Tribolium castaneum: one gene and its partners. The protein of the gene in region 1 purifies or fractionates together with the protein of each later gene. This does not show direct contact. Links are inferred from orthologs where the notes say so. Each region holds a gene or a part of one and is shown in the gene's direction. Other genes may lie near its edges.

Region 1 (4,721 bases):
AAATTTGCTCAATAAAGTAAAGGCTTTGCTGTTTTGAGGTCAAAACTCTTTTTTTATTAAATTTCGCTAAAATCGGTCGAAAAGTTACAAGTTAAATAGCAAGTGTTATTTCAGCTTCTTTCGCTGAATTTAGTTTAAACCAGATACACATTTATTTTACACGATCTTATCAAAATATGTCAGAAAATCATGGAATTAAATCGAATTCCATTTTTCTTGTTGCACTCTATTTTTCTCGTCTATTTTTAGCGAGATTTCATCAAAAGTTTACCATAAAACTAAATAATTAAGGTGGTAATAATTTTACCAGTTAAAAACTTTTCAACAGCATTTAAACGAAAATCATTATGGGTTAGAAGCTTATTTCTAACGCAAGATTTTTCCACCACTCTAAACCGTTTTTAACCGCTCATTTTCTCTTAAAAAAAACGTAAACCTTTGATGCCATTGGAAAGATTTAAACCGAATTTGGTAAGTGAACCTGCTACACTATTAAAAAGATTTAAAAAAAATGGTAGTGTGGTGAAAGGGGTGTAAATCTGATAATTCTTTCAGCTCGGATCTGGAGATTTTTATTTTTTGCGTTGGTGACAGTGTTACTACGAGATCTGTTAGATTTATTTTAAAGAATTTCTCTAAAAATGCAGTGTCTGTTAGATCGAATTTGTTATTTCGGTCTATATTATTTTGCAGTCTTATCAAAACATCTTTAAAAATGTTGAAAAATTAAATCAAATTTGTTGATGTTTGTCCTGTTCTATTCAATTATTTTAATCTCGAATTTTCTGATTTTTTTGGGTTGGCAACAGTGTTAAATTAAAAATTAAAAAAAGTGATTGTGGATAAAATAACTATAAATTCGGTAGGAATGTCATTAAACGCTCGGACTCCGTTTGATAACTTGAGCCCTCGCAATAATTATACTTCCTGCACCTTGTTTATGTAATATACTATTTTTTATATTTTTTTGTTACAGGAAAATCATGACGAGTTGTGAGTGTAAAAGAGACAATTTTTATATCTTACTGTGTGCAGTGTTTTGTTCCATAGTGTGTACTATTTCTTTGACTGATTTTTGTTAATAATGAGCGTATTACTTCTAATAAAACACAAAATCCTACAATAAGTTGTTTTTGTATTCACATTTTATTTGTACAAAATTCAAATAAATTATTATAACTTGTATGTAATTTTAATATTGAGATGTAAACGTACGACCGACGCTCTTCCATTTTTACTTTTTGTAAAATAATTATGTAAGTGGTCAATAAACACGAACCTCCGTTATTACAAGTTTACTTTTTCTTTTGATGACCTGACATCATCACTGATGTGGCTTAAGCTTTAGTCGCGGCTACTGCCGCCAGGGGCGCTGTAGATGACGATGTGACAGTGCCGCCAACATAATTTTTAAAGATTTGCAACTAATTTCAATTATTGAAGCAAAGTGAAAGAAATCTTATATCTTGCCACTTAACATTCAGACGTTGGCTCTGGAACCCTTTTTGTGATACATTGTTGCAAAATTACTAGTTAATGTAAAGTAGGGGTAACGTGGGCAGTTGATTGGCGACACTGTAAAACGGGTAAGTGAGGTTAAGTTGTGTTAGGTTAAGGTTGTTATCCTGTCAGTGCTGTGTAAAGTATTGATTTTGCAGGTTTTCACTAAACCTGCATTGCAGCATCTTCAAACTGAAGTTACAGAATTTATTCTTGAACGAAAATGGTAATTTTTCAAATGATTTAAAGAACATTGTATTTGATTGTCTCTACCGCAAGTAAACTAACAAAAATTTGTTGTTTTAGTTGTTTAAAGTGGTGAAATGCCCCTCAGATGAGCTGTCATTGACAAATTGTGCTGTCGTGAATGACGCCGACTTTTCACAATCTACAGAGTGAGTCATTAGGATTACATGAGCTGTTCCGAAGCCGATTTATTTGCAGGCATATTGAAGTCATCACAGGAGGAGTGAAAAAGTTCATTTTTTCCATTAAGAAAGACCCGAGAGTTCACAGGAATGAGGTTGCGTTCAGTGTACCACAGAGAAAATGGGCCACCTTGTCCATTAATGATGACATTGAAGTTAATCCTTACAAGGAAGAAGATTACATAACTTCGATTGTCCTGGAGGCTGATTACATGCAAAAGAAAACGTGAATAGTTTGCATTTAGTTTGAGCCCTTTTTAACACATTATTTTATTATAGAACATCGCAAGAGCAATATGACACAGATGAAATGGCTAAAGAATTTATTTACTCGTTTCCAAATCAGATGTTTACTGTTGGTCAACAACTGGCTTTCCTCTTTAAAGACAAAAAGATACTTAGCCTGCTCGTCAAGGACATTGAAGGTAGGTTGGTAAAAAAATAAGATTGTTTTCTGCGTATATGTTTTATAAATTCTAATTATACATAAATTCTAATTATAAGTTGGCAGGTACTAATCTTTCTTAATAATTTCATTAAACAAATGCAGGGCCTAAACAATTATGTAGGTTTTTTTTAGCAAGTGTTTGACTTTGGCAGTCGCAAGCATTCCAAAATTTTTACTGTTTAAAAAAAAACAAAAAACCTCACAGGTAAATCAAACACTCTGAAACATTTTTAAAAGAAAATTTCGTATGGAGAATGACAAATATGCTAAGTCTAATGTGTTGCAATATGTTGCAACTTTTAATAATGATGTGGAATAACTTCAGAAGTCTGTGATTCAGAAGTCTCGTATGTGAGTCAAGATATAGCACGTATTATTTTTTCTTGAATTTAGTTAGGGGAAATGCTAGACTTTGCAACATTAAGCAGATACCTGTTAAAACAAAAGAAGAAAAAACATCGTTTTGTGCTTTATGGAGGATAAAATATCTAACAAACTAGCAAATATGACAATTATTGAATTAAATTTTTAAGGAAATTATTTAAGAAAATATCTGCCATCATTTTGATGTTTAGCTGAACGTCTTTTAGCACCATTTGTAAGTTGGGCCAACATTTTTGAATCATCCTGCAAAAAATCACTTAAATAATGTGTTCGCACATTGTTGTCATTGAATAATGCGGTTCTATAGAATAAATCTTATTTGGAAAAACATGAAGTTTGTTTAAATTATTCCGAAAATGGCATTATTTTTGTACTTTTCAGAGTTTTACCAATTTTTTTCCTATGCGGAAATTAACTATTTTTACTGGTTTCCTACGAAACCATTCAAAAAATCATCACGGTTTTGTAGCCTCGGTTTTTTTCACAATATTTTGTTGAACTGTATTAAAAATACTACATTAGGAGCAACAAAAATACATCATTTTAGCAAAAACACTCCCAAATATCAATTATTTCGAGAAACTTTTTTAATAGACCGAAAAATCACAAAATTGGGGTGAAAATAGTGTTATATTCGCTTTTTCAAACATCCAAGAACGCTTTTGACTTAAAAATTTCAATAGACATATTTCAATATGTCTATTTTTAAAAGCCTTGAAACACCAAATACCGTCAAACTTAATAAGTAATAGTAAATTAATGAATTTGTAATAAATTAGTCTGTAAATGACATTGTTTTTGTGTTTTTCCTGAGGTTTAGCGTTTTTTTCTAATTGGAAAAACATAATTTTGAGTGGTTTCGTAAACAAAATATTCTAAAAATCACCACGGATTCGCAGACTCCGTTTTTTTGCTGAACTGTATCTATCAAAAATGTTAAACTAGGCATAAAAGTTAGAAAATCAATTATTATTTCTAGAATTTTTTATAAATAAACCGAAAAATTGTCATTTTGGGTTAAATGTGGTGTTATTGATGCGTTTTCAAGCATTTAAGCACGTTTTTTGAGTAAAAATTATTTTTATATGCAAAACTTTACGCCAAATTACTATAACGGTTCAAGATTTAAAATTTTTGATGCAATCTGTTATCCAAAATTTTTTCACTTTCCACAGTTACGTAAAGAGGGAAAACTTCATACTGAGCCTCAACCAAAAATATCATGATTATTATATTACATGTTATATTTTGAAAACTAGTTTACGATACCACAAATCAACACCAGCAAGAGAAGATGTTTGCCAACTTTGTTTCGAAATAGTTTCGAAGTAGGTATTGAACTTGAATTTGAATTTTTTTATACAATTTCTTACTGATTATTTTATAAAATAGTTTTTTTTCTTTTTTCTAATTATAAGAAAAGTTCTCTCTTCATTATACTTTTTGTAAAAATGTTTTAAAGACTTTTCTCTTATAAAGTCCATTCGAAATTAAAATCAATTGTCAAATTGTTTCAACGTTGGCAACTCCATTTAAAATTAGTCGTCCAGGCTTTGTTCTATGGCATTGTGGCAGGGTCCCAACATAAATTCAAAATTTTTGACACTGACTAAATTGTTAAAAAAAAGAGGTTTAGGTGCTAATAATGTTGTTGTTTATTCCATAGATATGAGTAGAGGTAGTACACCTTTGTTCTACAAGTGGTTATTATGGTACTCTCTTCCGAGCGAAATAATCTAGATTGACTAAAGTAATATTTCATGACAACAATCCAGTTGGGGACAGAAAATGATTAGTCTGCAGTAAAATGCAAATTAAAAACCCTAATTTGCATTTTAGTGCAGACTAATCATTTCCTGCCCCAACTTTATGGAAAACTTTATGAAATATTACTTTAGACAATATTCACTATTTTGCTTGTAAGTGTATATATTATTTGATTTAGTAATTGTTTTTATCTT
Region 2 (4,919 bases), on another chromosome or scaffold:
ACCAAATAGCTTGGTTCACCCTACGCAAGGGAGAGACATCAACGGCTTGCCTCCTAACGGTACCTGCCCTTCCAATACGGGTTGAGTCTTCACGGGGGCCAGAATTAATAATGGCATTAACCAAAACCTGTAATACATTTAAAATTCATTACTCGACGTATCATTACTTGGTACTTGAAGTTTGAAACTATTACAATCAGTCAATGGTAGCTAAATTTCAACAAATTATTTTCTGAAGAGGTGTCAGAAAAACAACTAAATCATCATAGTAAACTAAGAAGTGATAAATAATAAAATAACCCTTACTTCAAGTGGGTTGTCTCCAGTTAGAAGGTGGATGATTTCAAACGCATGTTTGACAATACGGACGGCCATCAATTTTTTGCCGTTGTTCCTCCCATGCATCATCAAAGAGTTGGTCAATCTTTCAACAATGGGGCACTGGGCCTTGCGGAACCTTTTTGCCGCATAACGACCTGCTGAGTGAGGTAAATATTTGGCATTCTTCTCTTTTACGGCAATGTAGTCCTGCAAATTAAAAACTAATGAACATCTGCTTACACAAGTGGTTAGAAGAAATACGTAAGTATCGACTCAGATTAACTAGTCACCATGAGGTGGTCTGAAGAGGTGTCAGAAAGTTAAAAAAATGTTATTTCATCATTTAAAATAATTTTAAATAGTTTCTCAAAAAATGCCGGTAAAAATTAGGTAAATACTCTTGATCAGTGGCTTTTGTAGCAAAAATAAAATGAATCTCAAAACAAGTTTTTCTGCAACTGACTGGCGCTCCAGCAAGCTGCTTTACTTTTTTACGATAATGCCCCTACTTTAAGGTGAAAAACTCACCTGCAAAGACATATCTGGGACTTGAACATCGTCGCAGCTCCACCGGCCGAACAATTTAATTTCTGGCATTTCCGCCATTTGGGGCGCGGCGATAGCCCCCGCTTGGATTTCATCGTAATCGTCCACCATTCTTCCTAAAACGCAAAACTATTAGTGCTCTTCAAAACCAACCTAACCCCAAATTGTCGAGACACATGTTTCAGTCGTAGTGCATCAACAACGAGGCATTCTGTCAAGAGGTGTCAGAATTAAATAAAAAATCATCATTTTAAAAAACTGGTCCACTTATTTCACCATAAGATGTTTTTTTGATAAATAGAAACACGTGCCACGTGAAAATTCGTTTTTTTACAAGGTGGAGATAAGCAGTTGTGTTTTTTACACGCATTTAGTGTTTCTACATTATTTTGGTTGAAATTGTAATACATACCTGGAATTTCTGTCTAATATTTATTAAATTATGAGCAAAATAACCATCAACACATTCACCACCATGAACGGTGAACCGGAAAGAGCTTCGCCATTCAAAATGGCGATAATAGAAGAGGAAATGGCAACCTTACGAAATTGGAGACCCTATGATTATCTGTCTCCCTTCCACGCATCGTCGTGACCTTAGCTCTTTCTTTACTCAACTCTAATTCCAGTAACTTTTTCACTGACTTTCTTTTTGATTAAAACGGCGGGTCTTACGAATTTGTTACTAAAACATCAAGTATTTGTTTAGACAATGATTACTCATCGTTATTTAACTAAAGCGTAGGTTATGTGATAGTGAATACAGTGGACTGAATTTTCAATTTCGTGTTTCCTTTTTATACAAATTAAAGATAATTAGGGGTGGAATTTAGGGTTTTTCACAGAGGTAGGTTTATCAATACCACTGACGTTCCCTTGCTAGTGACATTGTTGTTGTTGAAATTATGATTTATTTTACTTAAAATATGAAGTTATATGGTTCTTCGTTTATATCCACCCAACATTCCACATGTTTATGAGCAAGTTACTGTTAAGTTTGCAAGTGCAGAACTTGCCAGCCCACACATATTGACATGACGTTGGAGGACCCGTTTTTTGTAGTGAAAGAGTAAGACTTTGTGCAGTCATAAACATAAGACTTTTTATCGTGATTAGCATTTAATTTGCATAAATTCCGTGTTTGCAACAATGCATGAGCTTTGTGGGGATGTGTTTCATTTCTATTTTATTTATATTGATTTTGGTTGTTCAATGTAAACAAATTACATTATAAATAGAATGATCAAATTTTAGTGAGGTATTTAAGGCGTTAAATAAAACAAGGGGCTTGTATCTTCGATGGACTGAATTGCAAGATGACTCAATCTGTATCACCAAGGATGAAGTAGAATGGACCAACACAGAACTCAAAAACTCTTTACGTAGCATAGAATGGGACCTGGAGGACTTAGAAGACACAATTGATATCCTTTTTTAACACATTCATTGACTCAGTTGACCAGTTTATCAGCCAATAAATCTCACATACAAATTTAAATATACAAAGTGATCAAGAATATCTGTTTAAGTTGGCGATACTGGTAACAGCATTGTATTAAAATAAATAGAAATCATCTCTTGGATGGTGATAAAAAACATCCAATTGAGTTCCTATATTAAAAAATTGTTGGAGTTTTTTTTACGAGATATACACGTGAAGTTAATAGTTGTGCAAATATTTTAAGGTTTTTTAATATTAAAAAAATATTTTTGTTTACAAATTTTTTTATATTTGTGCACTTTTGAGTCATGGTATTATAGAAATTTATTACATTACATTGTTTCAAACAACTAAAAATTAAAATATTTCTGTGGCTAACTAAAATAGTCATTCTTGGTAACTTTGTAGGTGACATTTCTGGTGTTAAATGAGTATTATAAGAACTATCTATTACTGTTTCTAAATGCTCATTACTTTTTTAATTACTAAACAGTTCGAGTATAATTATATCTTTGAAATATTAAGTGTCACTTTTTTCTTCGTAATTTACTTTAAAAACAAATATCACAATTAAAAACTGGTTTCAATAAAAAGTGATATATTAAACTTCTTCTAAATATAGAAATAATTAGTTTACAACACATTTTGTTTGCATTCTTGAAGGAGATAAGTTTTTTCTTAACAGTTAAACACATATTGTAGAGAAAAATCCGTCAAAATTTAAAATCGACAACAAAGAACTTACCATCAGGAAAAACTTCATTGACACAACACGTGAAGAAGTTAAGGTAAAAAGCTTTAAAAATTAACAATATATTTTCGGTTTTGGTTCACTCTTACGTGATTTTAACTTTAATCTATAGTTACTTAAGTTGGTATGTATGTTTTTTTATGTTTTTAATTTGAAATAATTTTCAAATCACTCAAACCATTTTTTCAATACAATTTAATAAAACCTGATAAGCTAATATTTAATATTTTAAAGTATTCCACTTTTAAAAAACTTTTTTTTGTATTTGCTTAACACTATTCCTTGTAGTCCTTGTCATTGATTAATTTATTCAGCTCTAAATAATAAATTGATTTTCCGACTTCCGATGTTTGAAAAGTAGTCAGTTTTTTCAAAAGAAAGGGCTATTAACAACTTACGTTGTTAATAACTTAGTCGGACTTTTTATTGATTATTTGCCTTGAATAAACATATTTACTTTTCAATTTTGTTACTGAAAATGTTAAGGTGACTATCATAATGTTTTAAAAACAGCGGCTTTACGTGTTAGTACATAGGGAAATTAATTGATTTAAACTGTAAAAGGTAATGAAATATAATTATCATACGTAATATAATGAGTTTTTTGTATGGATTTACTTGTTTAAAGGCAGGAGATTTTTATTGGGTGTAGTCCACAATTAATCATACCATTAAAATCTCAATAGAAAATTATTTGTGTACATCAAACACTCAGACTTTGCATTTTTTAGTCAATGAAAGATAAAATCAACATGAATCGAAACAGAGATCGTGATCGTACCGCACGACAGGTAAACAACACCTAAAGTATTCTAAAGCTGACTGGCTGAATTTTTAGCCCTTACTCGACAATAGCCCCGTCAGGGTCACCAACAGCCACGGCACTACAAAATACTCTAAACTGGAAAACGATTTAGACAGCCCTCAACGTCAGTTTTTAAACGACACATTGTCGCAGCAACAATATATGACCAGACAACAAGAAGAGCATTTGGAAGCTATCGGTGATTCCCTCGGATCGTTAAAAACGGTGTCTAGACACATTGGAATCGAGCTCGATGAACAGGCAGGGTAAGAATTCTATTTTTAACAATAATAATAATTTTATTTGTCGAAAAAAAACAGCGTCCCTATTTTTAAAATTCCAAAAAACGCATCTTAGTATAATGATATTCAATGAGAGCTTTCCTTCAATGTCATAATTATGGAAATCAGAATGTAATTTGTTAAATGCGTAATTTTCTTTAATTTCTATTGTTCCATCACTTCTACACCGGTATATCCAGCTATCGGGTTAGATGTTATGCAAACATTCAAGACGATCGTAATAAGGGAAATGGCACTTAGCTGATAAAAAATTATTTGTGTTGTAAAATAATCCGAAGGTTGCGTCACCGATGTTAGAATAATTATTTTAGCTTTTTCCAATGTTTACCTTTTTTGCAGAATGTTGGACGAGTTCGGGACTGAACTCGAAAACACCGACTCAAAACTGGACTCGACTTTGAAGAAGATGGCGAAAGTGTTGCACATGTCCAACGGTAAATTTTCGTATTAAATTGCCACTTTTGTCAGGGATTTATTTACAGATCGGCGGCAGTGGACAGCTATCATCGTTCTATCTATCATTCTTCTTATTGTGATAATTTTATTTTCCGTACTGTGATTTCGTTTTTAAAGGCCAACCGCAAGCCAAGTTAAGAGATAGTCTAAGTACAAATGATTAGTTATATTTATACATTTTCCAACGTTCACACACTTGTTTCAAGCACAGTTTTTTCGGTTGAAACTCCTGATAGGTTTAGTGACTCAGCGTGCCATTTGTACAGCACAACTGTACGTTTTTAAATTCAAAATAGT
Region 3 (4,964 bases), on another chromosome or scaffold:
ATAGTCTGATTTAAAATCCTCAAATAATTTTACATAAGAAAAATCAAATTATTTGGACTTGTCGTTTAAAAAAAAAATTTTTTTTAAGTTTGGATTTTGTCAAATCTTAACCAATGTCTCAAATTTTGACCGATATCTTAAAAACTATCGCTCGTAGACAAAAAATGAAAACAGATTCTGATTCCTTGAATAATTTTGCATATAAAGTTTCAGTTACCTAACTAACAGAAAAATAAAAAAAATAAGACTTGAATCTTAGACTAAAAATTGGTTTTGTTTAGAATCTCTTGACGGTCGCCAACTACCGACTGATATTTTTGGAAGCGAAGCTGAAGAATTATGGCGTAAGCAATTAGCCATTGAACAGGAGGTAAAAAATTTTAATTTCTTGACTAGATTTTTTATGTTATTTTTTTAGATCAAACAGTTGGAGTTGCAACAAAAAGAACAACTACCGTATGTTTTTATGCGCGAAATCCCCAACAAACCGCCCCCTCCCTACACTCCCCCCTCCTCCCTTTCCTCCTCATTCCCCCACTCAATAATTCCAACCGAAGCGAAAGAAATCAGCGAAATTGCGTCATACAGTTCGAAAGTCCTCCACAAAGCGCACCAAAACAACACCCTCGAAAAAGTGAAATTTTCCGAAAACGGTTTCAAATTATTTTCGAAAATCGAAGTGTCGAAAATTTGCGCCGAATTTCTCTTCAATATTTGCAAAGACGTAGCTAGGGATCATTACAAACAATTCGAAATAGTGAAAGAACCGTCCTGGCTAACACTTGCCAAAAAACCACAGTTGGCTAAGACCAAACCCCCTGATTCTTTGACTTTGGAAAAAATTTTAACCAAAAAACTGAAAGAATTGTTTGGGTTTAAGAAAGTCCAAGTTGCCGAAAGTGCGATTATTAAGTGGGGGCGCAAAAAACGGGACCATGTGGATGAAGTTTTGGTGTTGGAATCTCAAGAGGAAGAATCGCAGTGGACCAACTTTGACAAGGATGAGTTGATCGTCAAGAATCAAGTGACTGTTGATATTATGAAGATGTTACTCGAGGAAACGGCCGATGTTTTTGCCAAGATTTTGGCTAAGAAGTGATTTTGTACATTTTTTTTAAGTCTGAATAAAGTATTTTTTTCTACAAGCATGTTTCATTATTAAGAGAGACAGGAGCCACGTAATTGTGCCTCAAAAGACCGATTAAAATTGAAAAAGGTAAGTGATGAATGATGAATTGTAATATCATACCGGGTGTTTCAGTTTGACACCAAATTTTTTTTATCAATCTATATACAGGGTTATTCTTTTATGGCCTATGTTAGAAACTTTTTAATTTCTAATATAGTTAGAGTTTTGAAATTTTGTATACGTGCCAAATCCACCATTTTGGGTTTAACTATTTTTTTTAAATGGCTGAGCTTCCGGTTGTATAACAAATTGGCGCCAACTTTGAAATTTTAAATAGTAATTTTAAGATAGAATAGAAATAAATTGAGAAAAAAAAATACAACAAATTATTTTCAAATTTTATTTACTAATAATAGTAAATAATAATAATACTTAAAAAAATGCATGCGGATTAATTGAGATTTTTCTACCATTTCTTGTTATTAAAAATTTCAAAATCAATATAAAAATAGTAATAGTAATTAATGGAGACTTTATGATGTCTAGTATTATTCTAAATTTCATCATAATTAATTATTTAAAATAAAAAAACTGCTGAATTACTTAAATATATGGAATTTCTGGCGCCAAAATTCGAACAACTGTCAAAAGCTGCGCACGCATCAACACCCAGCCCACTGTCAGAAAACATCTGTTTCACTTGTCATAGACATCTGCGATGTCGGCGAATAAAAAGAATGAGGAGGGTTTGGAGCACATCCGAAACGCGGAAAAACAGTAAGGAGCTAAATTTTGGTGATTTTTCTCTCCAATTAATTATTTTCCAGCCTTAAAACATCACTGTTAAAGTGGCGACCTGACTATGAATCGGCTGCTGATGATTACAACAAAGCAGGTTTGTATATTTTAAAAAAAAGTGATCTGAGGGTATTTTACCCAATTTTTACTTTTAGCAACGTGTTTTCGTAACGCAAAAAACTTTGCCCAATGTAAGGAGTGTTTGTTGAAAGCTGTCGACTGCCATAAACAAAACAGAGCGTATCCTTTTTTTGTGTGTGTGTGTGTTATTTTAATTTTTTATAGTTGGTTTTCTTTTTCCTAACTTGAAATCAGGTTGTTTTCGGCCGCCAAGGCTCTAGATCAGGCTGTTTTAGTGTGCAAGGAACTCGGGGATTTACAGGATGTTGCCTCTTTGGCAGAAAGGGCTGCCAACATGTTTCAGAGCCATGGCAGTGCGGACACAGCAGCGGCCTCTTTGGACAAAGCAGCGAAGATTTTGGAGGCGCAGCACCCGGAACAGGCCCTCAGGCTGTTCCAGCATGCCTCAGAAATCGCAATGGTAACGTCACATCACTAGATCAGAATGTTTTTCATGGAAACAATAAGACTTGAAGCAAAAATCCAAAACGCATCGGATAGCGCTTGAAATTATCTATTTTCCCGTCAAAACCCGGAGCCGCTCCGGGCAACGGTTCCGGGTACAGAGACATTGTTAGTCTTTCACTAAAAAAAATCATAACTCAAAAACTACAAGTTCTAGGGGGAAAGGGTTGGTTCCATTGAATTCTGCGGCTCATTTTACGTATTACACTAGCATTTTTTCAACATTAGTTTACCCCTGAACTTATTTAAAAATTTATTTTAATTTGAAAAATGGTGGATGCGCCGATTTATTTATTAAAAATTCATAACTCAAAATCTAAAAGTCGTGGATAAAAACGGTTTGTTTCGGTGAATTCTGCGCCTCATTCTACGTATGATAACCAGCTTTTTGCAAAAATTAAAGATTTGATTTTTGATTTCAGTCACTTCATTCCACAATAATAAAAAAAAATTAAACTCGTTCTAGCAAAGTTTTATGGACTTTTTTATGCGTTTACAACCCTCTGAAGTTGTTAAAATAGAAAAAAATCAATAGGTTCGATTTTTTCAATTTTTGTCGCAATTTTGGTCGATTCCGAGTAGCCGGAACATTTACCGAGCAATAACTCCGGAACTATTAGAGATAACCCTATGATGTGTACTATCTTTGGAAAGCTCTTTTAATGATCTATCATTTGCAAAAAAGATTACTGTTGTCCGACTTATAGTTTTCGAGAAAGTGGAAATAAAAGCAAAAATTAGATCATGTACTCAAAAATTCATAACTAAAAAACTATTGGGAATTTGGCGCTTTTCTTGATTCCAATCGATTCCTCGGATCATTTTGCATAGGTATGAATCAAAATACTTCCACTTTTTAGAATAGTTTAGCCGTAAATGAGAAAATAAAAAAATTAAAAAAAGTTAACACCCCCCCCCCCCCCTTAGAAATCGGTCAATTTTTAAAGTGTCCTAAAATCAAATAAAACCGATTCTATTTTATAGATTTTGATGTGCTCTTTCCGATCTAAAAAAGCGTTTTCTCCTAGCTCTTTTAGTTTGGCCGTAATCGGCGTTTGAAAATTGAAAAATTTTTTGCGAGATATCGCCTTGAGTCCTATGCCATTTTGTAGAGTTTTTTATTTCGGTTGTCCTCCATTTTTCCGTTTCTCGATAACTCTAATAGTTTCGCCGTAATTGGCGGTTGAAAATTGAAAAAAAGGGAAAATGGAAATCTTTTTTTGCATTTTTCTCGGAAACTGTAAAACTTAGAGCAACGAACAAAAATCCATCTGATAGCGCTTATTTTTGTCTATTTTTTCGTCTAAACCTGAAGCCGCTCCGGGCAATGGTTCCGGCTACAGAGGCGATCAAAGTTTTTCACTAAAAAAATTCATAAAAAAAAAACTAAAAGTCGTAGAGCAATGCGGTTTGTTCCATTGAATTTTACGGCTCATTTTACATATTATATCAATTTTTCACAAGAATAATTTTTTTTTTATTTTTTGCGTAATAATTTTTCAACAAAAAAATTCATAACTCAAAAACTAAAAGTCGTAGGGCAATGCGGTTTGTTCCATTGAATTCAGCGGCTCATTTTCTGTATTATACCAACTTTTCATGAGATTTAAAATTTTGAATTTTTTTGCTAAAACTTACCTTTAAAAAGGTGAAAAAATTAATTTTTTTTAAAACTCGTTCTATCGTAGGTTTTTGGACTTGTATGTGCCCTTACATTCCTCTACAGTTGTTAAAAGTCAAAAAAAGTTCATATGTTCGAATTTTTGATGTTTGATTTTTTCAATTTTTGTCGCGAATTTTGTCGATTTCCGGTACCCGGATCATTTATCAAGCAATAACTCCGGAACTATTAGAGATAACCCTATGACGTGTACTATCTTTGGAAAGCTCTTTTAATGATCTATCATTTGCAAAAAAGATTATTGTTGTCCGACTTATAGTTTTCGAGAAAATGCAAATAAAAGCAAAAATTAGATCATATACACAAAAATACATATCTAAAAAACTATTAGGAATTTGGCGCTTTTTTTTGGCCGTAAATGAGAAAATAAAAAAAAAGAAGTTAACACCCCCCCCCCCCCCTTAGAAATCGGTCAATTTTTTAATTCAAAAAAAATAAAAATATTTGTTTTAACACTCTCTACCAAATTTTGTGGACTCTTCTATACGTTTACAACCCACTGAAGTTGTTAAAAGTAGAAAAAAAGTCAATAAGTTCGATTTTTAAGATTTTGGTTTTTCCAATTTTGTCTTGATTTTGGTCGATTTTCAGCAATAATTCCGGAACTATTAGTGATAACCCCATGAAGTTTATTATCGTTGGAAAGCTCTTTTAATTATCTATCATTTGCAAAAAAGATTATTGTTGTCCGACTTCGAGAAAATTTCACATAAAAGCAAAAGTAGGTCAAAGATTTGTATAATTTTTTTTTAGATTCAAGACAGTTCGAGA

The links. Proteins that work in one complex are often made in the same cells at the same time.
Region 2: the proteins of vesicle-fusing ATPase 1 (region 1) and Syx6 purify together in Homo sapiens (affinity purification with mass spectrometry; 3 studies listed by BioGRID and IntAct, with this or other methods). This does not show direct contact. The link is inferred for Tribolium castaneum from reciprocal best matches to the Homo sapiens genes NSF and STX6.
Region 3: the proteins of vesicle-fusing ATPase 1 (region 1) and gamma-soluble NSF attachment protein purify together in Homo sapiens (affinity purification with mass spectrometry; 3 studies listed by BioGRID and IntAct, with this or other methods). This does not show direct contact. The link is inferred for Tribolium castaneum from reciprocal best matches to the Homo sapiens genes NSF and NAPG.

What each region holds. Positions count from the first base shown.
Region 1 is NC_087395.1:13,854,182-13,858,902, forward strand, and holds the start of vesicle-fusing ATPase 1, read left to right. Parts: upstream 1-1,463; 5' UTR 1,464-1,586; intron 1,587-1,590; exon of another isoform or gene 1,591-1,658; 5' UTR 1,659-1,723; coding exon 1,724-1,726; intron 1,727-1,806; coding exon 1,807-1,895; intron 1,896-1,944; coding exon 1,945-2,154; intron 2,155-2,207; coding exon 2,208-2,353; intron 2,354-4,721. Other genes in the region: Calr (calreticulin), read left to right, coding at 977-997.
Region 2 is NC_087394.1:33,930,499-33,935,417, forward strand, and holds the start of Syx6 (syntaxin-6), read left to right. Parts: upstream 1-1,720; 5' UTR 1,721-1,901; coding exon 1,902-1,936; intron 1,937-2,121; coding exon 2,122-2,291; intron 2,292-3,001; coding exon 3,002-3,096; intron 3,097-3,790; coding exon 3,791-3,850; intron 3,851-3,897; coding exon 3,898-4,130; intron 4,131-4,505; coding exon 4,506-4,600; intron 4,601-4,648; coding exon 4,649-4,725; 3' UTR 4,726-4,919. Other genes in the region: small ribosomal subunit protein uS7, read right to left, coding at 1-127, 307-528, 850-978. UniProt on the Homo sapiens protein: SNARE promoting movement of transport vesicles to target membranes. Targets endosomes to the trans-Golgi network, and may therefore function in retrograde trafficking.
Region 3 is NC_087394.1:1,525,980-1,530,943, forward strand, and holds the start of gamma-soluble NSF attachment protein, read left to right. Parts: upstream 1-1,765; 5' UTR 1,766-1,847; coding exon 1,848-1,906; intron 1,907-1,956; coding exon 1,957-2,024; intron 2,025-2,082; coding exon 2,083-2,167; intron 2,168-2,242; coding exon 2,243-2,468; intron 2,469-4,946; coding exon 4,947-4,964. Other genes in the region: centrosome-associated protein 350-like, read left to right, coding at 282-370, 419-1,099. UniProt on the Homo sapiens protein: Required for vesicular transport between the endoplasmic reticulum and the Golgi apparatus.